Macaca mulatta: one gene and its partners. The protein of the gene in region 1 purifies or fractionates together with the protein of each later gene. This does not show direct contact. Links are inferred from orthologs where the notes say so. Each region holds a gene or a part of one and is shown on either strand. Other genes may lie near its edges.

Region 1 (3,500 bases):
TGACCTCAAGTGATCCTCCTGCCTCAGCCTCCCAAAGTGCTGGGATAACAGGTGTGAGCTACCATGTCTGGCCCTCTTGTCACACTCTCTTGATTTAAGATTGTTTCTCCTAAGGCAGAGGTTCTCTGCGACCCATGAAAAGGTTTCAGGGAAATCTAGGAACCCCCTGAAAATCCATACAAATTTGTGTCATTGTATGTACAGTTGTCTGGAGAGTGGACCCAGAGTTTTCATCACATTTCCAGAGGGTCTGTGCCTTCACCCTCACCTGCCAATAAGATGAAGAAATAATACCAATCTCTAAGGAGGCTCACCCTCACCCTTCCCCCATGCAGCTGAAAAGGAACTAAAGCTGGACTTCAACTTCCAATAACCTTAAGAACAGGCATCAGAGGCCAAGAATAAACTTGCTATACAGTAATCCCAGCACTTTGGGAGACCGAGGTGGGCAGATCACCTGAGGTCAGGAGATCGAGACCATCCTGACCAACATGGTGAAACCTCATCTCTACTAAAAATACAAAAAATTAGCCAGGCATGGAGGTGGGCACCTGTAATCCCAGCTACTCGGTAGACTGAGGCAGGAGAATCACTTGAACCCAGGAAGCAGAGGTTGCAGTGAGCCCAGATCACGGCCCTGCACTCCAGTCAGGGAACAAGAGAGAAACTCTGTCTCAAAAAAAAAAAAAAAAAAAAAGAAACTCTTACAGGAGGAATCTCCTCATTTGTCACACTGGAGCAGCCACAGGAAGACGGTAAGAAATTAAAGTGTGGAGGACGAGGAGAGGGAAGAGGAAGCAGATGTAGACAGCTAAGGGCACAGGTCACCTGCGAGAAGATGAGTACTCGGTGTCCTTGCTCCTTCAGCTTTCGCAGCATCTTCTGGAGCAGCATGAGCTTCCCAGATGACTTAATAAGTGCCCCACCCTCATAAGCCCCACTGGGGAGTTTGGGGGACTCCTGAAAAGGGAGGAGAGAGGAGGAGGACAGGGTCAGTTGGAAACATCTCCCCATATTCTTACCGTGCCTAGAAGGCCAGATGCCCAGATCCAGCTTCCACACATTCCCAATTCCTACTGCTCTCAGAGACCCAGTCCCTGGCCTTTCAGCGCACTCCACCCTTGTGGCTCAATACCCACCTCCCCACTACTCCCCACCCATGTTTTCTGAGAGCGGACATTCGATCAGCTCCTGCTCTGTGTATCTACCATAGCAGCCACGGGAAAAAGGTATGGATGGTTGCAGCACTTCTTAAGATCCATCATGATATTAAGCAGCGACACCTGGTTCCCACCACCTCGTGAATTCAAGGCCTCAAAATTTCGAGTCAGGATGTACTTGTAGTATTTCCTAAAGGCCAGGAAAGGGGTGTAAAAGAAACATAAAAAAAAGAAGCAATTATGATATTGCACTTGGAATGCTCCCATCAATCCCCAACCCCTACTCCAGGCAGCTTGTCTTGCATCTTACTTCTGCATGGGGCTTAGCTCCACCCGAACGATGAGCTCTGTCTTGGCTGGCATGTTCTTAAAGACATCTGCCTTGAGCCTCCGTAGCATATGTGGCCCCAGCAAATCATGCAGTTTCTTGATCTGGTCCTCTTTGGATATGTCAGCAAACTCCTCCAGGAAGCCCTCCAAGTTGCTAAGAGCCAGGAGAGAAGAAAATTAACAGGTTGGCAAGTTATTTGCCGCTGATCTCAGGCTTACCACCTCAGATTAATCCTCTACCGGTTCATTTTATCTGCTCCACCTCTCATCTCTGCCAACTACCCTTAGGGAACCACTTACTTAAATCTCTCTGGGGTGAGGAAGTTCAGGAGATGGAAGAGCTCCTCCAGATTATTCTGCAATGGGGTTCCTGTCAGCAGCAACTTATGATCTATCTTGTAACCATTGAGAACCCTGAAAAACTAAAAGATGGGGCAAGGCAAGGCAGGAGAATGGGCTTATTAGTGGCAAATGACCGACCCACAGCATCAGCCTTTCTCTGTCCCAGCTCCCATTTCACTCAGGATCAGAGGCCCCAAATCTTTGGCCCTCTCCCTCCTCCAACCTGGCCGTCCTCTCAGACTACAGAAAATCCCCAGAACTTTGTTTGGGTTTTTTTAGGACCAGGGCAAGTAGGAGCCCACCATTTCAAGTTTTTGAGGTCTGAGAACCTCACTCACCTTGGACTGGTTGTTCTTGAGTCGATGGGCCTCATCTACCACAAGACAGGCCCAGCGGATAGAACCGAGTGCTGCCTGATCAATGGTGATCAGCTCATATGATGTCAGGAGAACGTGGAACTTCACCTGTGCCTCCCTCTGCCAACATAATTATTGCCCATTCAGCTGCCACCTGACAACCATGGACTTACACCTCCAGACACCTTTTCCTGACTGTGGCTGCCAATAGGAGCCATTACTCTGTTCTCCAAGCAGGGATTACAGACCATGGCCCCTAAACCTCTGCCCACATTTCCAGTACTGACAGATCCATGTACGCCCTTGGGAGTACCTGCCACATCTCTAGGATGGTAGTGCAGAGACACGAGGACAGGTGGAGGAAGAGGAGAAAGGTGAGGAGAGAGGGGAATAGAGAAACTGAATTCCTGGCTGAGAAAAAGAAGTGACAGATTTGAGGGTCTTAGAGGATATGAGGTAGAGGGGCTTACCTTCATCTTAAAAGCTTTCTTGCCCCCTTTGATGGCGTTGTCCTCAAAGGAGAATTCATTCTCACGAATGATGGCCCGGCTATCCTTGTCACCCGTGTATGTCACCACATAGAATTTGGGTGCCCACATCTGGAACTCCCGCTCCCAGTTAATGATGGTAGAGAGTGGGGCACTCACCAGGAAGGGACCTTTTGTGTGGCCCTGGGAGTCAAGAATGGGGCAGCATAAGTCTAGGCTAGAGGCTGTATACCCCAGTCCTCTGCCAGCTACACCCCTCCATCTTCCCCCTCCCCAATTCCCCAGTCCAAGCGGTCCCCTTCAAGGTCCTAGAGTCCAGCACCTCCTTATAGAGTGAGTAGAGGAAGACAATAGTTTGTATGGTCTTGCCCAGCCCCATCTCATCAGCTAGAATGGTATCAGTGCCCTGGGCCCAGGAGAAGCGCAGCCAGTTCAGCCCTTCCAGCTGGTACATGTGCAGGGTGCCTCCAGTGGCTGTGATAAACCGTGGCTGAGTCTCATATTTCACGGTAGGCTACGGAGACAAGAAGTCAGAAAGCTCAAGGAAATAACCAGCAGCTCCTCCAGTTTTAGTCTCCTCCTCCCTGGCATGGATACCAAGTTGGATTACAATTCCCTCTACTATGGCCTGAGTTTACAAAAGTTCTCACATCTAGTCTTCAGCCCCTCCCCCTCATTCTGTAAGACAATATCCAGCAGCACCATGGGGGAGGGCCAGCTGGTGAAAGAGCCGCCAGTGGGCTATCTCTAGCAGCTCCTGCCCTTTTAGGCCAAAATTCTTAACCACTCTTGGGGCAAGGCTGGACGCTGAAGGAAGAGCTGCT
Region 2 (4,115 bases), on another chromosome or scaffold:
TCTGGCTGCAAAACATTTTGTTTTAAATGCAGCCGGCGAGTCTTCTTTGATGTTACAATGGCGAAAAATAAAAGAGAAGTCCTCTTCCCTCCCTCCAAAGAGGCATCCCTCTCCCAAGGCGAATCCCACTTTAATTTCTATTCCCCCCAAAAAAATAATCATAATAAATCCACAAATTCTTACTAATGTATCTGCTGTAACAAAGGAGAGATGGCAACAGCAATTGCTCCGAGCAGATGGCTCCTATGCTGGATTTTCAGGGGAGGGGAGAACCCCTTTATATATTTATTTATTTATTTAAATTTTTTAAAATATAACATAAATATTCGGCTCTCGGCCGCCCCGCAGCCAGTCCTCTGCGGCGGCTGGGCGCGCAGCCCTCTCTAGCTCCGCGCGGGCAGCCCGGCCCCAGCCGGGCGAGGTGCGCGGCGGATTGCAGACATACAACCTGCCCGCGGTCTCGATGGCACCCAGAGGATGTTTTATTTTTAATGCAATAAAAAAAAAAAAAAAGGAACGGCGACCCAGGCACCGCGAGAGAAAGAACGGCGGGGAAATGTTCGCGCGCAGCGAAGAAGCGGCCCCGCGGGCTGCGGCGGGCGGGCAGCGCGGCGATGCCACCTTCCCGGTGCAAGTGTGCGGGGACCCGGAGCGGGCTCCCCTGCAAACACCGTACCTGGCCCGCTCGCGCTCGCTTTTCCCCTCTGCTGAATAAACCCAACAGGGACGGTGGAAGCTGCTGCTTGTCTTGCCCCGCTGCCTGACTTTGCCCGCCCAGCCACATGCTTGAAATCTACACGATTTCAGCCGGTGGATTTCCACTGCGACCTGCCTTGTTTATTTAGAGAGGAAAGATGAAAGATACTGAGATAGAAAGATGGATACGAGATTGATGGGTCTCCTTTTATTTCTTTTTTTTCTTTTACTATTTTACGAGTGCATCACTCTCTTCCCACTCCTAACTGACAACCTTTTTTTTTTTTTTTTCTTCTCGTGGCGGGGATTTTTCACCAACCCCAATCCCCCCACCTTTTTTGAAGTGGGGGAAAGAAGACAAGATCATCCCAGGAGACAGACGGAGGTGGGGAAATGGGGGGTGGGGAGGGGGGCTTGAGCCCTGCAAACAGCCGCGCAGCTGGATTATTTTGCAAATAGCAGGAGGAGGGGAGAGAAAGGCGGCTGCGGAATCCTAGGACCGGCGTGGCCGGCACCCTGCTGGGCCGGGCGCAGGGACCGGGAACCCGGAGCCGGCGGCCGCCCCTGGCCCTACGGCTCCCCCAGCCCGAGCGCACCCCGCTCTCCTCCGCCCGCGCCGTCAGCACGGACCCACGCGCTCGCCAACTTTTCCCCACTTCCCGGCTCCCCCCTCCCCCTCCGCTCCCCCAGCTCCCTCCCCCTCCTCTCCAAACCCCGCCACCAGCGCCGCCGCCGCCACACACGCCGCTCGGAGGGGCGAGCGTCCAGCCGGGCTCGGCGCGCACACACACACTCCTCTAGCCTGCACGCCCCCTCGCAGGCCCCCGAGCCCGAGGCGCGTCCGGCTGCTCGGCGCCCCAACTCCCCCGGCTGCAAAGAAACTTTCCTATGGCCCCCGCCCCCCGCCATGCTGCAGGCCGACGCCGTTGACTCTGCCAGCCAGCGGGCGGCCCCGGCGCCTGGCCCGGCTCGGCTGTTCCGGGCTCCGTGTCCCCAGCCCCAGGCGCCCGGAGCCCCATCTCCGGCCCCTCGCGCGCACTCCGCAGACACTTACGGGTGATGAGCTCCCTCTGGGACAAGTGCTGCGGGTTGCCCTGTTTGCGGCGGGACATTGCCCCGGCATCTATTCTGGCATCGCCCGGAGAGCTGCACTGATGGGGGGAGCCGGGGGAGGGGGTCCGAGTCGCTGCCGCTGCCGCCGCGCCGCTGCCGCCGCCGCCGCCGCCGCCGCCGCGCCTCCTCCTCTGCCCGGGTTGGTGTTTTTTTTCCCTTCCTCTCTTGCCCTCTCTTCCTCCTCTTCTTCTTCTTTATTTTGCTCTTTCTTCTATGCTGTTTTTTGTTTTGTTTGCAAAAAGAAAAAAAAGGGAAGAAAAGCAAGAAAAACCTTTCGATCTAAAATAAGAAAAAGAGGCAAAAAAAAAAAAAAAAAAACTGCTGTTGCTTTCCGCGGACTGGCTGGTTTCTTTAAAAATATATTCTTTCGAAGGAAAAAAAATCTCTTACACTTCTTCAAACTGCTTGGCCTCTTGCACTTGCAAATGTCTTCTTGAACTTAAACTGGATTTTGCACCGGCTCCTGACACTTTCTTTCAGGGTCTGGTAGGTGGAAAGCGCACTTCTACCAGGAGGGGAAAAGAAAAAAAATGCAAACAAATAAAAAAAAAAGAAGAAGAAAAAGCAAAGGAAAAAAAAAGCAAAGAAAACTTGGGGACTTGTCTCGTACCCCCTCACCCCGCCCCCTCAAAAAACCCAAAGCAATGTAAAACTGCCCCGGTTCGGTTGTTTCTGGGTTTTTCTGCGGGCTGCCTGTTTTTGTTTTTTGTTTTTTTTTTCTCGGAGACTGACCCTTCCGAGGCTCTGGGGGGACACCAAGAGAGGCTCCTTCCCAGTTCACCTGGCAGGCTGGCGCCGGCCGGAGGGGCTGCCGAGTCCCCGCGAGCGCTCCCCAGCGCTCCCCTGGCGCCGCGGGCCCGGGGGGAGCGGGGCGGAGGGGCGGCTCGCCCAGTGCGCCTGGGTCGGTGCGGGCGCAGACTGGGAGCTATAGATTGCAACGTGAAGATGGCGGAGTCCGGGTTCTCTGGGAGCTCTCGGTCTCTCTATGGCTGGGGCTGCCTCTGTACAATGGGATAAAATTCAAGTTCAAGTGCGGACGTGACGTTTAATCTGCACTAGAGACAAAAAGACCCAGAGAGTCGGAGCACTGGGGGCGACTAGCGGTGGCTTTTTAACATTGTACCCTGTAAGAGAACAAGAAAGCACACACAGAGACACACTCGCGCGCGCGCACACACTCACATACACACACACAGTCGCCGGTTGCGCACACCCGCAGCCCAAGCCGGACACACGTGCAAACCGCGTTTTTGTGCGCTCCTCATCTCCCCCCAGCCCCGGCTGCGCAAAAGCAGGAGGGGGTTGGGGGGGGGGGACACTGGGCAGCGTATTTTAAAATAAAAGAAAAATCGTCCTTATATCGCCTCCCTCCTGGGAGCAGGACCCCCTGAGAAGGGGGCCGGGGTACTGTGTGAGTGAACTAAATTGAATCAATACAAGTCTCCACCCGCCCAAAAGCTCTTTCGGACTTGGACTTTGGGGGTGGGGGCGTGGACTGTGGAAAAGGGTTGGGGTCGACATGGGAGTTGGGGGACAGTAAGAATTGCTTCGTTTCCGTGGAAAAGTCGCTTGGAAGTTTTTACTTTTGTTTTATGGTCGCGGGCGGGGGCGGGGTGGTGGATGTTGGAGTTCAACTTCCAAAAAGTGTCTCCATATAAATCCTGGTATTACAGACTCTGGGAGGGTGAGGAAGACAAAATAAACGACACTAAAAGAACAGAATCAAGAACACGTGAGGGGCTGAGAAGTGTTTGAGACCTTGTTTGAGTCCCATTTGGAAAAGGATTTTCACTCAAATCTCTGTCCCCTCCCCTCACCTTACCCCCATTAACTCCTAGGGGTCAAACACGGCCCCACCCCCTAAACCGGGTCTATGGCAAGCGAGAGGGTAAGGGGCCCGGGCGCTCCACGTGGGAGAGGGACTTGGACTTGCCGGCCCAGGAGTAGGTGTGGCCAGATCTCCGCAGATACTCGGGTGGGTGACTCCAGGAGGCGCCCCTGACAATCACAGCAACCTGAAAGTCACACCCCGCCCCCCGCGCTCCTCGGCCCAGGGTAGGACTTGAAAATGCCTGTCAGACTGGGAAGGACGCAGCTGCCTTGTCAGCCGTTTGATCTCCAGCCGGCGAGGACAAGAGGAGTTGTGGGGCCTGTCTGTGGCCCGGGGACAAGGCCGGACCACGGCCCCCGTGGACACCCCCTATTCCCCAGGCTGCGGCCAACTTTGTGAATTTGATGACCTGGCCTCCAGGGCTGGGCGCGCCACGCGGCTGGCCTCCTCTCCATTCTCAGGGTTTCTCCGGAGG
Region 3 (3,500 bases), on another chromosome or scaffold:
ATTTTCATTACTACCAGGGGTGATTAATTACTGAGGGTAATGACTAACCACATTACACACCCCGCACGGCTTCCAGAGGAAGGTCCCAGTCCAGGCCTTAACCCAGGCCAAAAGGAGGCTGTAGTGAAAGAGCAGGGGTGACTGGCACACAGCAGGGCGGCCAAAGGGAAGTGCTATGAGCTCTAGAAGCCGGGGGCAGCAGGTTAATGCCGCCAAGTGGAATGGGCATCAGATTTGTTCTAGAGCTTTCTGGACCCCCACAACCCATTTCCACATACCTTGTTCTGGTCACTCCTAAACTGGTCCTGCCGGCAGGGGCACCAGTAAACTATGTACCCTCCCTTTGTGGGAAGGTGGGAGAGGACAGGAGTTCCTTATCAAGCTCAGACTTTCCTACCAGTCAAATCAAACTCCCAGCCCTCAGGAAGACCAGGCTGAAGACAGAGAACTATGTTTCCCTGGCCAGCAGCCCTTGGCCTCTCAACTCCACCCTCCTCTCAACTGCTCAACTGCCTTCTTTCCCTTCCCTCCAAAAGTGGCTCCGTTCCCACAGCCCCATGCAGGCCCCAGATGCCCCCAGCAACAGGAGAGCTCTCCCCACCCAGCCAGCATGCAGGGACTAGAAACCGTTGAGTCCAACCCCCTAAACCCTCTGCAATCTGTGACCTAACCCAGGCTTAGGCCCAGCTTGGGGAAGGGGGGCAGATGAGGTGCTTTTAACCCCTGAACCACCCAGCCCTCAGGACCTGAGGGCTTATGAAATTCACACAATAACTCTTTGTTACCTAGGATTACCTAGGAGTTAACAAAAATAAACAACTGGCTTTGACTCTGGTCTCAGGGTGCATGCCCTGCTCTTCAGATACCATTTACAAGGTGGATAAGTGTCATTTCCCTCCCGTCTAAAAACAGTCCCCCTTAGAGCCTTAACTCTGGCATCTTGCTCTTTGTTATTCTCTTTCCATGACCCTTTTCCTTTTCTTTTCTTTTCTTTCCACAGCAGGTTATTTTTCATTTACTTTCAAATAAAAATTAGAGGTCACACTTCTTTTCTTCTTGAACCTACTTTTTTGTGTTTAGGGCGGAATCACTGCCCACCCCCCAACCCTTTAGCCATGCATGATTCATACCATGTCTTCCTACACAGAGAAGCAAACTGTATTACTTTCTAAAACAGTATCTTTCAGAAAACATTTGTATAAATGGACAAATTTAAGTTTCATAAAATGGTCCTTACTATAAAAGCTCGCTTGAACAAGTAAATGGTGGTGGTGGTGATGGTGGTGGTAGTGGTGGTGGTGGCGGTGGTGGTGGTGGTGATGGTGGTGATGGTACTGGTGGTGATGGTGATGGTGGTGGTGGTGGTGGTGGTGGTGATGGTGGTGGTAGTGGTGGTGGTGGTGATAGTAGAACCTTCACATTTTAACTAAAATGATGTGCATTTTCCTCTAAAACTAGGAGAAAAATAAGTCAAAATTATGTGTGATCATGTATATATAAAATATACTATGTACAAATATACATGTAAATACATAAGGAATATGTATTAGAATAACTCTGGAATAACCCTAAACTGACTGCTTTTGATTCTGGCCTTGGCTAAAGATGTGTGCATTGGACTATACCCGAAGTCCTAAATGAGGCCACAGGAGTGAATGTCCAGTAATAAAATGGGCTCCAAAGGCACAGACATATTCAATCACTAGCCATGGAGCCAGACAAGACCCTGGGGAGAAGACCCACAGGGATTAGCTACTTTCAGCTCCCAGCCTCCAGTGAGGAAAGAAAAAGGGGAGGCAAGAAGTCCCTCTGGGGCTGAGTGGAGTGGGGAGCGTCTGCCAAGTGAGTAATGGAATAATACATATGACAATCTATTTTGGAAGTAACTCCGTTCAGTACTTAAAAAGTAAGGGCAATTTCCAGAAACTGTCATCTCTATACACATGGACATTTGTAGAAGAAATAAGGCTCAACTTACAAATACCCTGCGGGGCATATTCTGCACTCATCCCGGGCGTGGGGATTAGAGCTCCATGTGCAGAACGAGGGGAGGAGAGGCCCCTCCAGTGCAGAAGTTTATCTGTGAAAGAAACCCAAAATCAAGCACTACAGCTACAAACAACGTGCATCATAAACCACAGGATATCACATTTCAATTCCATTAAAACAGATTAACATCATTACAACAGCCTTGCAGATAGTTAACAGGCCCAAGGCCTGAAACAAAAGAAGAGTGGAGAGTTATTTCCCACAGTTTCTGTTTTGTTTTCAATTTCGGTCTTTTTGACAAAAGGGAAAGGGTTTGTTTTAGGAATGGGGAGAGGTGGTCTTTGGTTCATTTGCTTGTTTATTTGTTGTTTGATTATTGTTTTGTGGAAAGAGATGGGTAAACAGCAAGGGGAAAACTGGTAATATTGTGGGTAGCCTGGAAACATGGGGGTGGGCGTTATCTGCAAGGCTGGTTTACATGCATACATTAACTTTACTTTATAGACAAACCCAAGCAAAAAACAAAATGCTGATAGGAAATGAGTAGATTTGTGAACCGTTTTTTATGGGACAGAGTCCCATTCTGCTTTCTCTGTCCCTCTGCCCCCCTCTTCCCATGCTATATTTATGATAGAGCCTTCAGTGACAGGGGAACCTTGGGCATTTCTGGACTGACCTGGGCCATATGCTAGAGTCCTGTCAACGGGAAACCCTGTACAGATGTGGCTTCTCACAATACAAAGCAATGGAAGATAAAGATTAGACTTCTGGGGTCCAAATAACTTTGGCCATTACATGACAAGGAAAGAACCAGCATTCCAATAATACCAGCACCCAGAAACCCTGGCCCACCTTCACCATTTTATTGCACTTTGTTGCACTCTGGTGAAGACAAGTGACTTTTCACACTAATAAAATGAATCTGATAGTCAACAAAACATTTCTAGCACTGAGATTTTTTTGAGAAGAGGAAAATTTGGTTTGTGCAGTCTGGGGATTTTATGGTTTATGTGGTAAGTGCCTAGCTTTTCCAAGTCCTCCTCTAGCTAACTAACCATGTAGTTGTCCATCTTGAGACAGACTGGAGGATAGATGGTGCAGGAAACGCTCTGTGTGTTCTAGAGGTTTGGAGTTCGTGATGATTGGGGAGGGCAGGAGAGAAGAAAAACAGACTTTGATGGTGAATAAACAGTATGTTTTCCATTAGCTTAATATTAAGAGCACTTAGAAGTGTTGTTGTTGTACTCTAGGATAGCAGGTCTCAAGTGTAAAATACATCCTGTTCTCCTTATATAGAGCACACTGCCAAGCACAGCCAAGGCAGTTGGGACAAGATTTCCTTTCGTGAGGAGCCTGGTGGGTAACGATGGTGTGCTGCTGAGAAGGCTCTTACACAGACAGCATAGGTCTGCTGTTACCAGGCCTGCAGAGGGAGGCCCTGGTGGAAGCACCACCTAGCCTGAGACTGTCTACAGAGACATTTCATCCTCTCTGACCTAAAACAAAATAAA
Region 4 (3,500 bases), on another chromosome or scaffold:
ACGACGGAGACACGTCCATCGCGTCTGCAGCCAGAACCCCCCAGCCCTGCGCTGCCCTCACAGGGGCTGCCCTAACTTTCCCAGCCTCTGAGCCTGAGTTTCCTCGGGACCCGCCTGGCCCCGGCACCCTGTGCCCACCCTCCCTGGCCCCCAGGGCCACGAGGACCACGGCTGTAAGGGCACACTTACTAGTTGGGAATATAAACTTGCTTTAACTTGCTCTCAGCTTCAGCTGCTTTCAAGCGTTTCTTAAAACAAAAGAGAAGGTCAGAGGTCAGCGGGCTAGGCCCAGGTTGGGGCTGTGGTGCAGACAGGCTGGAGGCCACGGAGAGGAGAGCGCCAATGGGGAGGAGAGCCCCAGTGGAAAGGAGAGCGCCAATGGGGAGGAGAGCCCCAGTGGAAAGGAGAGCGCCAATGGGGAGGAGAGCCCCAGTGGAAAGGAGAGCGCCAATGGGGAGGAGAGCCCCAGTGGAAAGGAGAGCGCCAATGGGGAGGAGAGCCCCAGTGGAAAGGAGAGCGCCAATGGGGAGGAGAGCCCCAGTGGAAAGGAGAGCGCCAATGGGGAGGAGAGCGCCAATGGGAAGGAGAGCGCCAACGGGGAGGAGAGAGCCAGTGGAGAGGAGAGCCGGGCCAGGGACTCAGCAGCACGCCCACCTGCTGGGAGAGGATGGGGCGCAGGACGCGGAGGTGGTGTGCCCCGGGCACTGAGTGGCAGGCGGGCTTACCTGCTGCACGTATCTGTCGGTGGTCTTCCACATGTAGTAGTACTCAATGATGCTGGTCAGAGACTTCCACGGGAGCTGGGTGGGAGGAGGCGTGTCACCCAAGCAGGAAGGGGCAGGAGGTAGGCACATCATGAGGGCAGGGGCAGGGCTGCGGCCAGAAAGCCACAGAGGGGGCAGGAGGTGGGAGGGCAAGGTGTGCTTGGTGCGCTGAGGCCAGGCCCCTGCTGGCAGGCAGGTGCAGAGGGAACTGATGAAGTGGGTACCCCCTGCCAGATGCCAAAACACAGTGACGCCAGGGGAAGAGGAGCTGACACAGGGTCAAGGTGGAGATCTTGCCGAGGTGGCACTGACAACCCAGCCTCCATCTCAGCCTTTTTTTTTTTTTTTTGAGATGGAGTCTCTCTCTGTCACCCAGGCTGGCGTGCAGTAGTGTGATCTTGGCTCACTGCAACCTCTGTCTCCTGGGTTCAAGCGATTCTCTTGCCTCAGCCTCCTGAGTAGCTGGGACTACAGATACGTGCCACCACGCCTGGCTAATTTTTGTATTTTTAGTAGAGATGGGGCTTCACCATGTTGGCCAGGCTGGTCTCGAACTCCTGACCTCAAGTGATCCACCCGCCTCGGCCTCCCAAATGGGATTACAGGCGTGAGTCACCATGACCGGCCATCTCAGCCATTTTTGTTTTTGTCACCCAGGCTGGAGTGCAGTGGCACAATCTCGGCTCATAGCAACCTCCACCTCCCCAGGTTCAAGCGATTCCCCTGCCTCTGTCTCCCAAGTAGCTCGGACTACAGGCGCCGCCACCACACCCAGCCAATTTTTGCATTTTTAGTAGACACAGGGTTTTACAGGTTTTACTGTGTCACATGTTGGCCAGGATGGTCTTGATCTCCTGACCTCATGATCCTCCTGCCTCGACCTCCCAAAGTGGTGGGATTACAGGCGTGAGCCACTGTGCCCGGCCTGTGGCATGGATTTAAGAAACCTTATTAAATAAGGGTTCAGATAGTTCCTCAGTCTGGTCCACTGCATCTGGCAGGAAGGAAGAGCAGGGCCTGCTCCCTCGACACAGCCCCGAAGCTGCAGCCTCCTGACCCCACGCCTGGACTCGGCCCCGCAGCCACAGCCCCGAGCGCTGCCTCGCTAGGCTCACGTGGACTCAGCACTGGGGTCTCCTCTGCTGGAACCATGTGCAGCAGGGTCTCCCTCAAATTCTGCCCTCATCTGAGCCAGTTGGTGAATTTTGTTTCTAGCCCTCATCCTCTTGTCTGAACATGTTCTGCTCATCTTGGTTAGATTTTAAGCCTGGAGAAATCCATATCCGCCTTGGAGAGGCCACTGCCCCAGTCAAGGACTCCTCCCGAGCCTGGCCAAGCTCTCCCCTTGGCCAGAGGCCCCCACACAAAGCTGCATTCCTGCCTCACGGCTGGCTGCTGTCCCTCCTCTTCATGTCTAGGCACCCTACCCAACCCCATGTTTGTTTCTTCCGAATTCCAGATGCCCCCCCAGTCTCTGCTACGCTGGCCTGTGCGCTGCGGCGTGGATGGTGCTTTTCATCAGACAGCAGCAACCTCGCCATGTCCTGGCCCTTTGGGGCTCCTCCCTGCCCTGCCACAGGCTCCACCTCCCCAGGGCTGATGGTCAGGGGTCCCACCACCTCCACGTGGGGATGCCCTTCTAACAGATCAGTTTAAACATATTTTAGGAAGGCTGACGGTGGGAGGATGGGGGTCCTGAGGTAGAGGTACAGGGAAGGGGAGACCCCATACCATGAAGACCCTCTCGGCCTGTTGCTGGGCCAAACTCACATGAGCCAGAAAACAAGGACATGAGGAAACAGAGGTTCAGCTTAGTCAAAAACAAAGCAAAACCAAGGCTGGGGCTGGAGGGGGTGGCAAGGAAGGGAAAGTCTCTGTGAGGACACCCTGGCCTCCGTCACCTGGGCCAACCCTTATCCTTATCACGCAGTGGTGGTAGCAGCGTGGCTCTCTATGCCCAGGCCCCACCAGTGCCCCCGCGCCGTCTGCTGAACCAGTGTGACAGGACTGTGGTGGCCGAGCACAGCTGAGACAGAACTCATGCAGCTCCATACAGGGAATCAGGGCGCAGGACAGGCTCCCTCAGGGCAGGGGGGGACGTGGACCCCACGCCCCCACAGCCCACCTGGAGATGGGCATGGTCAGCCACTCCCACATCGCCACCCACGGTACTCACAAAATCTTGCTGAATGTCCGTGAAATCCTTCCCATATTTTTCCAGGGCTTCCTCGAAAAGGTTGGCCTCTGACGCAGACCACTCCTCCATCTCATCCCTGCAGAGCACGGGCCCGCCCTGTGGCACCAGCGCTGAGATGGCCTTGGAGATGTCATAGATGTTCTTGTGGAGAGTGTCCATGGCATGGAACTGAGGCAGGAGATAGCAGGGTCACCTGGGCCAAGGTGGCTTTCCTGCACCTGTGGCACGGCAACCCTCCCTCAGGGCCTCAAGGATCCCCTGCTGCAGGACCAGGCAGCACAGCCCTCCCTGCACCCTCAGGACAGTCTGGCTGAGCCTGGGATGGATAGGAAAGGCCAGTCCAGGTGGGACAGCACCTCTGCGGGGGTCCTGAATACCTGGAGCAGGTGCTGGGTCCAGGTAGGAGGAAGGGCACAGCCACTCTGGGCCGTGGGTCACTCCAGGTCTCAGCTGTCCCACCCTAGGCCCACTTACCAGGGTGATGTCTCGGGAGGCAGCTGCGGCACTCATGTGCAGGCTGGGCTGTCGGACGGAGCTGC
Region 5 (4,149 bases), on another chromosome or scaffold:
CTGGCACTGGGGCCCAGCCAGGGAGAGCATCTTCCCGCTGGGACCTTCGACAGGGCAGCTCATCCCTTGGAGATGTGGGGTGCAGCTGACATGGTGGCTACCCCATTCCTGCTGTTCCCCAGCCTGGGCTGGGGGTACTAGGATCACCCTTGGGCTGATGAGGAGCCCAGGTCTTGGGCAGTTACCAAGTGGGGGTCACAGTCTGGAAAGTGGTGGAACCAGGCAGCGGCCTCGCCTGGGCCACACTCTCAAACACTGGCCCTCAACAAGAGGCACCTTGGCTCTCGAGACAAGGCCACCTCCTCTCTGCTGGGCCCACGCCCGTGGAGAGCAAGTGGGAACCGGCCGTTTTCTGTCCCAGCTTGGAGAGCCAGGGTCAAGGCCAGGCCTCACTTGCCCAGGAAAGAGAAGTGAGGAGACCCACCAGAGGAGCGCGTGGGGTGGGGGCCGCAGCGCAGCTCGGGCTGCTGCCCCTTCCTGGTGCTCTCCTGTCCGCTCCACCTCACACGTCCCTGCGAAACACAGTCCCCAGTGCCCTCCATTCTGATGTGTTCTGAGCCGGAGCCCAGTCAGGGCCTTGGGCTGAGAAAGCTCTGTCCCATACTTTCTGCTCCTTCGTCTCTTCCACCAGCTTCTCTCCTCTGATGGTGGGGAGCATGTCTCCCCCCAGCCCTCCCACCATGCCATCACCCCCATTGCCATACCTGGGTGTAGCCTAGGGATGGTGGCCCGTAGTCACTGAGCAGCTGGCGGTACTGTGAAGACGCCATGCTGGTGGAAGGAGAGTGGACACTCCCAGCTGTGGGGTGGGGAGAGAGAGGCCAGGAGTCAGCTCAGCCAGTTGTACCAAGGCAAGGACTCCAGGTCCTGCAATGGCCCTTGCCCAGGACCCACACCACCAACTGTAGCAGGATAGAGAACCCTGCTCTCCACCTCTAGTCTGACCAGTGTAGAAGACGGATAATGAAATGTAGCTACAAGGCACTCGGCCATCCCCAGCTCTGTAGCAGCTGCTGGTCCTCACAGAGCTCCGTCCTGTCCAACCAGAACCTTCCAAGCAGCAGGGCTGCTCCCAAAGATAAAATTACTGCCACTCCTGGCCTCATCCCTGCCCATCCCCTCTCCCTGTGTCCTGGCCCCAGAGGATGAAAACCTAGAGGCCACATCATACCACAAGAGCCCACTGCCATGGAGGCTGGTCCAAACCAGCGGAGCTTCCAAGCCTTTTTGTCCTATGCACCGAAATCTCTGCTGTGCTCAATGACGGGGAAGATGGGAAGGCCTTAGAGTATTTGAGACCCAACCCTGGCTGGAGACAGGCATGCTGGACATCAAATTAGGAATCTAGAGAACACCACGGCCTCTGTGTGCCCCAGATAAAGCCCCTCAACCTCTCTGTGCCTGTCTCCCCCTCCCCAAAGGGGGACCAGACTCTTGGCAGTCTATGTCCCAACGGCTCTGCATTCCAAGAGAGGAGGGTTGAGGCCCCACATATGGGATGCAACATTGGGGCCTGTCCAGGGCTGCAGTCAGTGACCAAGCAGGGCCCAGCCCAGAACGCAGCCTCCTGGATCTGGGAGGGGAGTCTGAGGCTGGGAGCACGCGGCCCCGCAATGGCGTCCCAGTGGCCATTAGCGGGTAAAGGATATCCTGCAGAATGACAAACAGCGGTAACCATGGAGAATTTACCTAGTCCTCCTCGGCAGCTGCCCGCCTGCCGCCCCCAGAGCCACACGGTCTCTCTCTCACACACACAGCGGGCGCTGCAGACTTGGCCTCGGGGATGGACAGCTGGTGCCAGGCTGGCCAAACCCACCAGCTGCTCACTTGGTGTGGGTGAGGGGAGGGGCAGAGGAGGAAGGAAGTTCAGGGCCTCAGGCTGGGGGAGCCGGGAGGAGCCCTGGAGAACCCTGGCTCCAGGCCCCTCTATTTAGAGACATGGACCTGAGGGAGTTGCCCCAGGGCACACAGCATAGCACCTGCCCCTCCATGCAGGGAGCCAGCTACCTCAGCACCTGCCCCTCTGTCCAGGAGCATCCGGGAGCGGGGACAGTCCCGAGTTGTCTCCCTGAGTCTCAGGCCAGCCCTGGATGCCACCACTGCAGCCCAGGGTTATGCTCCAGCTTGGGCTGGACCTGGAAACGTGGACTTGGATCCTGAACTGGGCAAAGCACCATGCCACTCCGAGCCTCAGTTTCCATGCCTCCCACATGGGGATGACGAGACACGTGTGCTACAGGGATGGGCGGCTTGGGATGGGGAAGCACTACGCCCGCGATATCCGGCACGTCCACGGCCACTGCAGGAATTGGGCAGGGCGATGTCCCCCAGCGCCCCCTCACCACATCAGCCAAACCCCAGTTTCCTGAGCTTCTGATGTGGCAGCAAGCGTGGCATGGGGAACACAGGCTCTGCTGGCAGAGACCTGGGTTTCGATCCTGGTAGCTACACCTCTCTGGCCTCGAGGGCCAGTCTCTGGGAGGGACCATAGAGCACAGCACCCTGGGTGTTTGCAAGATCCCAGCAGCCTGGCAGGAGGGGCGCTAGCCACTTCCCACGCACCCTCGAATCAACTCGGTGTGCCCCCGTCCTCTTCCCCAACTGCTTTGCCCACTGCTCCTCACCTCTCCTTTTCTGTCCTCCCCACTGGACTTGGCGCCAGCCCCAGCTGTGCCACTCCTGGCTGTGTGACCTCAGACAGGCCCCCCGCCCTCCAGTCCTCAGTTTCTCCATTTGTTAGAGGCAGTGCTTCCCAAGAGAAGGTCTACAGGCTCCAGACCCTACTATTTGATGATACTGGGGTTAGGTTTTGCGGGGCTGAGAGGAAGGAGGAATGAGAAATTGTCCCATTTTGGCTGGGGGGACAAGGAGCAATAGCTCGGTGACTCCAATGCTCTGTCCAGGCCAGTCCCTTGTTCAGGGTTGAGTGGGGGGTGTCTAGTCCTGGAGAGAGATGGCGGAAATGCCCCGAGTTCCACTCATGGTCACTCCTTCCTGCAGACACAGGGACCGGGACACAGGGACCACGTCAGCGCAGGCCGTCTCGGCGCATCTCAGACAATGAGCGCAGTGTGCAGGAGCGAGGGGTTGGCAGAGGCCAGGAAGCTCCTGGGGCCAGGCGCGGCTCCCCGCCCCCACGCCAGACAAAGAGCGCCGGGGCCTGGGGAGCTGGCGGCCTTCCCGCCACTTGGGGCGCCTGGGGGGCTCTGGGGCGGGGGAGGCGGGGGCTTTGTCTAACTCCGCCACTGCCACCACCGGCCAGGCCGCGGCTTGGCAACCCGTGAGCAGGAGGCAGGGCTGCAGGGCGTGAGGGATGATGACAAGGAAGCCGGAGGAGCAGCGGCAGCAGCGGAGAGTCCATCTTGGATGCAAATGGCAGGAGGGGAGCTGGGGTTCTGCAAAAGGGTCCATGGGGGAGAGGGAGGGGCACCAAAAAGCCCAGATCTGGGGATCTCGGCACTCCTGAAATTCTCCACAGAAGAAAGAGAAGAAAAGCTGAATACAGGTGCAGCCAGCTCAGAACAGGACTTCAGGGGTCCCCGTGAGTGCCGCTATCCCTGTGACCCCAAACCCTGAAGGTCCCAGTTTAAGGCCCCGGCCCCAATGACACCAGGTCAAGCCTGAGCTGTCAGCCTTGCCCAGGCTGGCAACACCAGCCCCTGCCCTCCCCACAGGCCAGAGGAAGAACGCTGCTGGCAGTCCTACCTGGCAACAAAGCCCGTCTTTGTAAGGTCTGCGGACCCCAGAGGAGGTGAGAATGTTTGAGAAGAAAACAGTGGCTGTTTGCTCTTTGGGACTCCGAGCCCACAAGTGAGCAATTCAACTCTCCCTCAGCACCCTGACGATTAACCCTTTCCTGCCCCTACACCTCAGTGTCCAAGGTTTTTTTAAATATCGTTTTTATGGGTCCTACTTCGGATGTGGGAGGTTTATGAAGTCAACGTTTGCAAACAAGGCCCAAAACTCGAGCAGGAGAGCCAGCGTGGCACCGGTGACCAACGGGGCCACTCCTTTCCCTCCGAGTCCTTACCCCCCACGCCCCGCAACACAACCGCCTTTTGGGAAGTCTGTTTCCGACCAAGTGTCAGAGAAGAGGGGCCCCAGTGAGGTCACAAAGCCCGGCACCTACCAATCCCTCAATGTTGCGCC
Region 6 (3,993 bases), on another chromosome or scaffold:
GGTTTCACCATGTTGGCCAGGCTGGTCTTGAACTCCTGACCTCAAGTGATCCACCTGCCTTGGCCTCCCAAATTGCTGGGATTACAGGCATTAGCCACCATGCCCGGCCTAAAATCTCAACTTTCAAAGAGTCTGGGACTGAAAGTAAAACCATCTCTTATGCCCTTTACCCCATTCATTTTTATTTATTATTATTATTTCTTTTTTTTGAGATGGAATTTCACTCGTTGCCCAGGCTCGAGTGCAATGGTACGATCTTGGCTTACCACAACCTCCGCCTCCTGGGTTCAAGCGATTCTCCTGCCTCAGCCTCCCAAGTGGCTGGGATTATAGGCATGTGCCACCATGCCCGGCTAATTTTTTTGTATTTTTAGCAGAGACGGGGTTTCTCCATGTTGGTCAGGCTGTTCTCGAACTCCTGACCTCCGGTGATCCTACCACCTCGGCCTCCCAAAGTGCTGAGATTACAGGCATGAGCCACCGTGCCCAGCCCTATTTTTATTTTTTATATTAATTAAAAAAAAAAAATAGGCCGGGCGCGGTGGCTCAAGCCTGTAATCCCAGCACTTTGGGAGGCCGAGACGGGCGGATCACGAGGTCAGGAGATCGAGACCATCCTGGCTAACACGGTGAAACCCCGTCTCTATTAAGAAATACAAAACAAAAAACTAGCCGGGCGAGGTGGCGGGCGCCTGTAGTCCCAGCTACTCGGGAGGCTGAGGCCGGATAATGGCGTGAACCCGGGAAGCGGAGCTTGCAGTGAGCTGAGATCCGGCCACTGCACTCCAGCCTGGGTGACAGAGCGAGACTCCGTCTCAAAAAAAAAAAAAAAAAAAAAAAAAAAAAATAGAGATGGGGTCTCACTATGTTGCACAGGCTGGTCTCAAACCACCCACCAGGCCTCCCAATTTACTGGGATTGCAGGCATGAGCCTCCGCACCAGGCCACCCTTTACCTAATTACCCGTTAAGGGAAAATAAATATTTTTTAAATTAAAATTAAGAACACTCAGTGTATATACCTTGTTGAGTTCTTCTATCCTTCTTATTAGGTATGGGTTGCTGGAGGAATTCTCAAAGTAGACATAATCTGTAATTAAAGGAAGTACAGAACTTAATATTTTCAACAGAAAGTTCAGATTTGTCAATCCAAGACTTTTTATGTTAGGCAATTCACGTTTGAAATTAAGCTCATAATTCATTCACTGGTAAAAGCAAACATAATAATGCAGCCTTAATATATTCTCTCATGTGCCTACTATTCACGGACCTTTATTTTCTTGGCATTTTCATTTCAATTAATGTTTCATCAGTTTCTCCTAGACTTCTGTCCCAATATGTCATTTCTTTAATAATAAACAAAAAAGACACCTCTTATCACTGGGTAGTCGGGGCACACTAAACATGTGTCCTCTGTACTATAACTACTTCCACATCTTTTTCCTCCAATACAATTTGCCCTGGAGGCTGCTTCTCACATAAAACTATTGACCTAAGACACATTCAGAGCATGGAGAAAGGCTTCACAGTCCAACCTACATTTCAATCGCTACTTAAAAAAAAAAAAAAAAAAAAAAAAAATCAGATGAGCAGAACAGGTAAGAGGAAGAACACTAACAAACTTTTCCACAGCTCTACCTGGGAAGATGAGGGAAAAAGCGGGTCAGGGGGATCAATTATAAGAGGCAAAGTGCCCTGGGGGTGATATCACCATCTTTTTTACCCTTTTACCATATTTAATCCAGATCCATTTAATGTCTTGTGATTAAGAAATTGCTGCAGGCTTTCAACTAAAAAGATAACATTTTTCAAGTGTGGCTTTTCCTCTCATCTGATAGGCTCGCTGGAAACTTCCCACTGTGTGTTTATCTCAAAGGCAGCTGCATTGTTATTGTCTATCTTAGTGGCTCTTTCGCCGCTGTCTTCTGCAAAGTGGCCTCATTTAGCCAGGCCATTCCCACCACCATCCATCAGAAGCTCAGCTAATGAGCGGAGAAGGAAGAGCCAGTCTCTCATACAAACACGCCACTTATCTGAATTATTATTTTACCAGGAAAGAGGGAGGAGGGCGTCGTGAGTAGGGAGAAAGTTTGTTTGACCTTATTTCTCTCTTCCGCAGACTGGGAAGGAGGCAGGCAGCAGAGCAAACGTCCAGGCAGAGCTCAACTCCCCACCTCCGGCTGAGGTTCCCAGGTCCCACGAAGCCCCATTCGTGGGGGGCTGGACCAGAAACGAAAGGAGGGGGGCCGAGGAAGGCGAGGTGCAGGGCCCCGGCAAGGTGCAGGCCCGCAAACAGGCCTGTCCAGCTGGGCCCCTGGCTGGGCCCCCACCGCCCCCACCCCCACCCCAGGCTCCCACTGAGTGGGGAAGAAGCAGGGGAGGGGATGTCCCCTCATCCTCTCCAGCGCCTAGAAGCCACGCGAGAAGGCCACCTTCTCAGGGGGCTCGACGGGCCCCACCACCATGAGGGTTTCGTGGAGGGAGGTGTCTGGTAATTCGTACCCCCAAGTAGAGGCCTGGCCCTAAACACCTGGCGGGGTGCGAGGGTGAAGGTGGCCCCGGCCCCTCGCGAGCCCCCGTGGGGGGAGGGGAGGGGTGGGGTGGGGGTGGGGAGTCCTGGCCCCTCTGCGGGCCCCGGCGCCCCCGCCCCCTGCGACCTCAGCCCCGGCGCCAGTGGCTCCCGGCAGTTGGCGTGCGCTCGCCCCGGCCCCCCGGTCCCGGAGCCCGCTCCCACACGGGCCGGGTCGGGCTGAGCCTGCCTACCTCCGACCCGGTACATGTTGGCCGCCATGTCCGCCCGCCCGCCCGCGGAGCCCGAGCCGAGCCCCGCCCGCCGCCGCCGCCACCTCCTCAGCCTCAGCCTCGACCGCCGCTGCCGCCGCCGCCTCCGCTGCTGCCTCGCCACGGGGGGGAAGGGAGGGAAGGGAGGGGACAGGGGGAGGGGGAAGTGAAGGGGAGGGGACGCCGAGGGGTGGGGGCTGGTGCCCGCCCCCAGCGCCAGGCTAGCGAAGCCTAGTGGGCCGGGCCGGGGGAGGCCCGGGGAGGCCCGAGCGCTGCGGGACCAGCGGGAATTGGGGGGGAGGGGGAGGGGGAGGGGGAGGGGGAGGGGAAGGAGAGTGGGAGGGAGGGTGGGGGGCCTCGCTGGAAGTGGAGGGCCCTGGAGCCAGGGTCCTGGCCGAGGCAGAGGCCTGCGCTCAAATGCGGACCAGGGGCAGTTAGAGAATTAGAGTGGGGGCTGGGGCTCAGCCTCTCCCCAGCACCTCTTGCCCCACCCAGTGTACCCCGTCACCTGTCCACCCCGAGACAGGTCCTCCTTTCCTACCTCTGTCCCTGGGGACCCCCCCTGGGGCTGACCTGGTAGGCGAGCGCCAATCTCAATGCAAACTCTTGGACGCAAATAAGTACAGGCAGCAGGGTGCCTTCCTCGTGGTGAGATCCAAGGGGCCGGCCTGGAGCCTGCAGGCTCTAGGGCCAGGAAGACCCTGGGTGCTTCCCGCCTCGCCAGAGACCCGGCTGGGGACAGAGGTTGAAAAACTCCCTTCCTAGGCTACCCTAACTGCATCATCGTTCACCCCAAAACTGGGCTGAGCAGAACCAACTCTCCAACACCCAGATGGAGGCCCTGGCTCTAGACAGGCCCTATATATGCAGGGCCTGTTCTGCTGGGACCTTTAGGAGTGGGGGGCTTCCTTTGTCCATGGGGGAACAGGGCCCTACAGTTCACAATCACCACCCCCAAAAAGAGGAGATTCTGTTCAATCAGCTTGATATGGATGGACACTTAGCTGGTTATGTGCCTAAAGCTTCTAAATGATTATTGTCCCAAGCCAATTCTCTAAACAACCTCTGTTTTCACGGCCTTCCTACTCTCACAGAAACAAAACAAAAAAAAACCAACAACGTTGAATCTTAGCTGGCTATCCCCCAAACGAACACAAATAACTTTCTTTAGAGAAGCCAGTCCATTCCAAAGTACTCCCAGACATTGGTGCAT
Region 7 (3,159 bases), on another chromosome or scaffold:
CAGCCTGACGGCCCACGGGGCTCCCGAGCGCCCCCTGGCGGCCACCACCGCTGCGCCTCAGCCTCAGCCTCAGCCTCAGCCTCAGCCTCAGCCTCAGCCTCCACCCCAGCCCGAAACTAGATCAGTCCCGGAGCCGGAGCCCGAGCCCGAACGTGAGGCAACCCCGACCCCAGCTCCTGTCGCTCCCGAGGAGCCCCCAGCACCTCCAGAGTTCCGCTGCCAAGTGTGCGGCCAGAGCTTTACACAGTCTTGGTTTCTCAAGGGCCACATGCGTAAGCACAAGGCCTCCTTCGATCATGCGTGTCCGGTGTGCGGCCGCTGCTTCAAGGAGCCCTGGTTCCTTAAGAACCACATGAAGGTGCACGCCAGCAAGCTGGGCCCACTGCGTGCCCCGGGGCCTGGCTCCGGGCCTGCCCGGGCCCCGCAGCCTCCTGACCTCGGCCTGCTGGCCTATGAGCCGTTGGGCCCAGCGCTCCTCTTGGCCCCGGCGCCCACCCCGGCCGAGCGCCGTGAGCCCCCGAGCCTCTTGGGCTACCTGAGCCTGCGGGCTGGCGAGAGCCGGCCCAACGGCGAGGGTGCTGAGCCCGGGCCCGGCCGCAGCTTCGGAGGCTTCCGCCCGCTGTCCTCTGCTCTCCCGGCCCGGGCTCGCCGGCACCGTGCGGAGGAGCCGGAGGAAGAAGAGGAGGTGGTGGAGGCCGAGGAGGAGACCTGGGCCCGGGGCAGGTCGCTGGGCCCTCTGGCTTCCCTGCATCCGCGCCCGGGTGAGGGACCGGGGCACTCTGCCCCTTCTGCTGGGGCCCCGGCAAGATCGACCACCACGCAGGGTATGTAGGGACCCTCCGCTCTCCGGGTACGCCGCGTCCTCCTCTGACTCTTACGCCGCCACTCCCCCATAGCTTCCTTTTTAAAATAACTTATCTTTTATTTCTTCTGAGTTTTTTTTTTTTTTTTTTTTTTTTTTTTTCTGGAGGCTTTGCCATCATTTGAGAACACTTGACTCTTTAGTCACAACAAATCTAACCCCTCAGACTTTTGTTTCCTTCTGGACTCCGAGGGGAAGCAGCCCTATGGGGTGGGTGTGGGGTGGGTATGGGGTGGGTGTGGGGTGGGTGCACGGGACCTGGACAGAGTGTAGGCCCCCGCTGACTTCCTCTTAATATATGTGTTGCAGAAGAGAATGGGCTGTTGGTAGGAGGGACCCGGCCTGAAGGGGGCCGGGGCGCCACCGGCAAGGATTGTCCCTTCTGCGGAAAATCTTTCCGCTCAGCACATCACCTCAAAGTGCATCTGCGAGTGCACACAGGTGAGGGAGGCAGCTTCCGGCGTGGAGAGGGGACTAGGGGGCGGGCAGAAAGGCGAGGGCTACCGAAACACCGGGAGGTGAAGTTTGTTCCGAAGCCTTCAGTTTGGCTGGATGAGATCACTTGGGAAATGAGGCTCCTTTATTAAATCAAAGTGGGTGGGAGACGCAGTGCCCTTTCTTGGTTCTGAGAATGAGGTCTCTAAATTGGGCGAAATTCGGGTGGGTGCGTGCAGTGATCGTGACCCCGTAACCCTTTTGCACCCACTTTCTCCAGGCGAGCGGCCCTACAAGTGTCCGCACTGTGACTACGCGGGCACCCAGTCCGGCTCGCTCAAGTATCACCTACAGCGCCACCACCGGGAGCAGAGGAGCGGGGCTGGCCCCGGGCCACCCCCGGAACCACCGCCTCCTTCCCAGCGGGGTTCAGCCCCGCAATCTGGAGCCAAGCCGTCTCCACAGCCTGCGACCTGGGTGGAGGGTGCCTCAAGCCCCCGGCCTCCTTCTAGCGGTGCTGGGCCGGGGTCCCGTCGGAAGCCCGCCAGCCCTGGGAGGACCCTGCGCAACGGGCGAGGTGGTGAGGCCGAACCCCTGGACCTGTCCTTGCGGGCAGGGCCGGGAGGCGAGGCCGGGCCGGGGGGTGCCCTCCACCGCTGCCTCTTCTGCCCTTTCGCCACTGGAGCCCCAGAGCTCATGGCCTTGCACCTTCAAGTGCACCACAGCCGCCGGGCTAGGGGCCGCCGGCCACCCCAGGCTGACGCGTCCTCGCCCTATGCCCGAGTACCATCAGGAGAGACCCCTCCCAGTCCTTCGCAGGAAGGGGAGGAGGGCTCCGGGCTGTCCAGACCCGGAGAGGCAGGGCTAGGGGGGCAAGAACGGTAGTGAGCCCTCAGGGGCGATTAGCTTAGTGAGCTTACCCCGCCGGAGCGGGGGAGCGCTAGAGGTAGTTGGGTAGAGAAGCCAGCAGGGGGCAGCGTGGGACCCATATCCCAGCCCCAGGCGGACCAGAGGTGGAAGGGGCGGCGGGCGTAGGAGGGTGGGCTGGCGGTACCCACCCAGCCCAAGGGAGTCACAGTGCCTTAGAAGTGGCAGAGGTGAGGGTCAAAGAACGGGGTCCCTGGGCTGGCAGAGAGGGTTTGTGTCCCTGTTGAGGAGCCACTCTGCCAGTCTTTGCTGGTCCATAGGCGTGAGAGTTTATTTTTGTACAAGGGGTGAGGGTGGGGAGCACTGTACCCTTCTAGCCCCATCAGGGGCTCTGTAGACGTCGCTATTTTTGGTACGATTCCTGTCATCCCTGTTGCAGAGTCGTGTCCCCAATAAACAGGTGTCGTGAGGCACAGGGCCCTGTGTCTGTCTGCCTACCTATGTCCTGCTCCTCTCTTTGGGCCCTTCTGTCAGGAAATAGTCACCTCTTCAGACATTTAGTTATCACCCAAAGAGTTTGATAAGAAATGCGGAATATTAGGTTTCACCCCCAGGTTTCAATGCAGCAGCTCTGATGGGGTCCAAGAATCAGCATTTAACAAATAGCCAATCAAGTTCTCACACACTGTGGCCTGAGGGCCTCATTTTGAGAACTGCTGGACTGTGCTGCATCCCAGTTTGTCTGTGACCAGTTCAGCCTCAAGGAGTAGGTGCAGTGTGGGAGAAGGAGCTTCAGAGAGTGGAGCCTCTGGGAGCCACTGTGGAGGAGACACATTCTCCCAGGCTCACACACAGTCAGCTCTGGGCCTGGGAAGGGTACAGGGGACCTTCCAGTCTTGGTTTTATTTTCTGTGTTCTAGTTAAGGGCTGGTTGAGGGAAAGTGCTCAAGTTATTTATCACCTTAATCCAGAGGACTACTCTAGCTCCTTGGAGG

The links.
Region 2: the proteins of CHD3 (region 1) and BCL11B purify together in Homo sapiens (affinity purification with mass spectrometry; 3 studies listed by BioGRID and IntAct, with this or other methods). This does not show direct contact. The link is inferred for Macaca mulatta from reciprocal best matches to the Homo sapiens genes CHD3 and BCL11B.
Region 3: the proteins of CHD3 (region 1) and BCL11A purify together in Homo sapiens (affinity purification with mass spectrometry; 3 studies listed by BioGRID). This does not show direct contact. The link is inferred for Macaca mulatta from reciprocal best matches to the Homo sapiens genes CHD3 and BCL11A.
Region 4: the proteins of CHD3 (region 1) and MTA1 purify together in Homo sapiens (affinity purification with western blotting; 7 studies listed by BioGRID and IntAct, with this or other methods). This does not show direct contact. The link is inferred for Macaca mulatta from reciprocal best matches to the Homo sapiens genes CHD3 and MTA1.
Region 5: the proteins of CHD3 (region 1) and CDK2AP1 purify together in Homo sapiens (affinity purification with mass spectrometry; 6 studies listed by BioGRID and IntAct, with this or other methods). This does not show direct contact. The link is inferred for Macaca mulatta from reciprocal best matches to the Homo sapiens genes CHD3 and CDK2AP1.
Region 6: the proteins of CHD3 (region 1) and MTA3 purify together in Homo sapiens (affinity purification with mass spectrometry; 4 studies listed by BioGRID and IntAct, with this or other methods). This does not show direct contact. The link is inferred for Macaca mulatta from reciprocal best matches to the Homo sapiens genes CHD3 and MTA3.
Region 7: the proteins of CHD3 (region 1) and ZNF219 purify together in Homo sapiens (affinity purification with mass spectrometry; 3 studies listed by BioGRID and IntAct, counting the BioPlex papers as one, with this or other methods). This does not show direct contact. The link is inferred for Macaca mulatta from reciprocal best matches to the Homo sapiens genes CHD3 and ZNF219.

The regions. Positions count from the first base shown.
Region 1 is NC_133421.1:9,405,999-9,409,498, reverse strand, and holds part of CHD3 (chromodomain-helicase-DNA-binding protein 3), read right to left. Parts: intron 3,191-3,500; coding exon 2,999-3,190; intron 2,860-2,998; coding exon 2,659-2,859; intron 2,309-2,658; coding exon 2,171-2,308; intron 1,913-2,170; coding exon 1,791-1,912; intron 1,645-1,790; coding exon 1,471-1,644; intron 1,351-1,470; coding exon 1,209-1,350; intron 961-1,208; coding exon 829-960; intron 1-828.
Region 2 is NC_133412.1:172,590,763-172,594,877, forward strand, and holds the start of BCL11B (B-cell lymphoma/leukemia 11B), read right to left. Parts: upstream 2,801-4,115; 5' UTR 1,809-2,800; coding exon 1,751-1,808; intron 1-1,750. UniProt on the Homo sapiens protein: Key regulator of both differentiation and survival of T-lymphocytes during thymocyte development in mammals.
Region 3 is NC_133418.1:64,324,545-64,328,044, reverse strand, and holds part of BCL11A (BCL11 transcription factor A), read right to left. Parts: intron 2,081-3,500; coding exon 1,979-2,080; intron 1-1,978. UniProt on the Homo sapiens protein: Transcription factor. Associated with the BAF SWI/SNF chromatin remodeling complex. Binds to the 5'-TGACCA-3' sequence motif in regulatory regions of target genes, including a distal promoter of the HBG1 hemoglobin subunit gamma-1 gene.
Region 4 is NC_133412.1:178,892,956-178,896,455, reverse strand, and holds part of MTA1 (metastasis-associated protein MTA1), read right to left. Parts: coding exon 3,436-3,500; intron 3,130-3,435; coding exon 2,941-3,129; intron 801-2,940; coding exon 726-800; intron 249-725; coding exon 190-248; intron 1-189. UniProt on the Homo sapiens protein: Transcriptional coregulator which can act as both a transcriptional corepressor and coactivator. Acts as a component of the histone deacetylase NuRD complex which participates in the remodeling of chromatin.
Region 5 is NC_133416.1:130,672,886-130,677,034, forward strand, and holds the start of CDK2AP1 (cyclin-dependent kinase 2-associated protein 1), read right to left. Parts: upstream 2,801-4,149; 5' UTR 2,734-2,800; coding exon 2,625-2,733; intron 1,844-2,624; exon of another isoform or gene 1,690-1,843; intron 800-1,689; coding exon 705-799; intron 1-704. UniProt on the Homo sapiens protein: Inhibitor of cyclin-dependent kinase CDK2. Also acts as a component of the histone deacetylase NuRD complex which participates in the remodeling of chromatin.
Region 6 is NC_133418.1:82,262,228-82,266,220, forward strand, and holds the start of MTA3 (metastasis-associated protein MTA3), read right to left. Parts: upstream 2,801-3,993; 5' UTR 2,791-2,800; coding exon 2,763-2,790; intron 2,439-2,762; exon of another isoform or gene 2,099-2,438; intron 1,090-2,098; coding exon 1,022-1,089; intron 1-1,021. UniProt on the Homo sapiens protein: Acts as a component of the histone deacetylase NuRD complex which participates in the remodeling of chromatin.
Region 7 is NC_133412.1:93,940,087-93,943,245, reverse strand, and holds the end of ZNF219 (zinc finger protein 219), read left to right. Parts: coding exon 1-824; intron 825-1,171; coding exon 1,172-1,303; intron 1,304-1,577; coding exon 1,578-2,182; 3' UTR 2,183-2,659; downstream 2,660-3,159. UniProt on the Homo sapiens protein: Transcriptional regulator. Recognizes and binds 2 copies of the core DNA sequence motif 5'-GGGGG-3'. Binds to the HMGN1 promoter and may repress HMGN1 expression. Regulates SNCA expression in primary cortical neurons.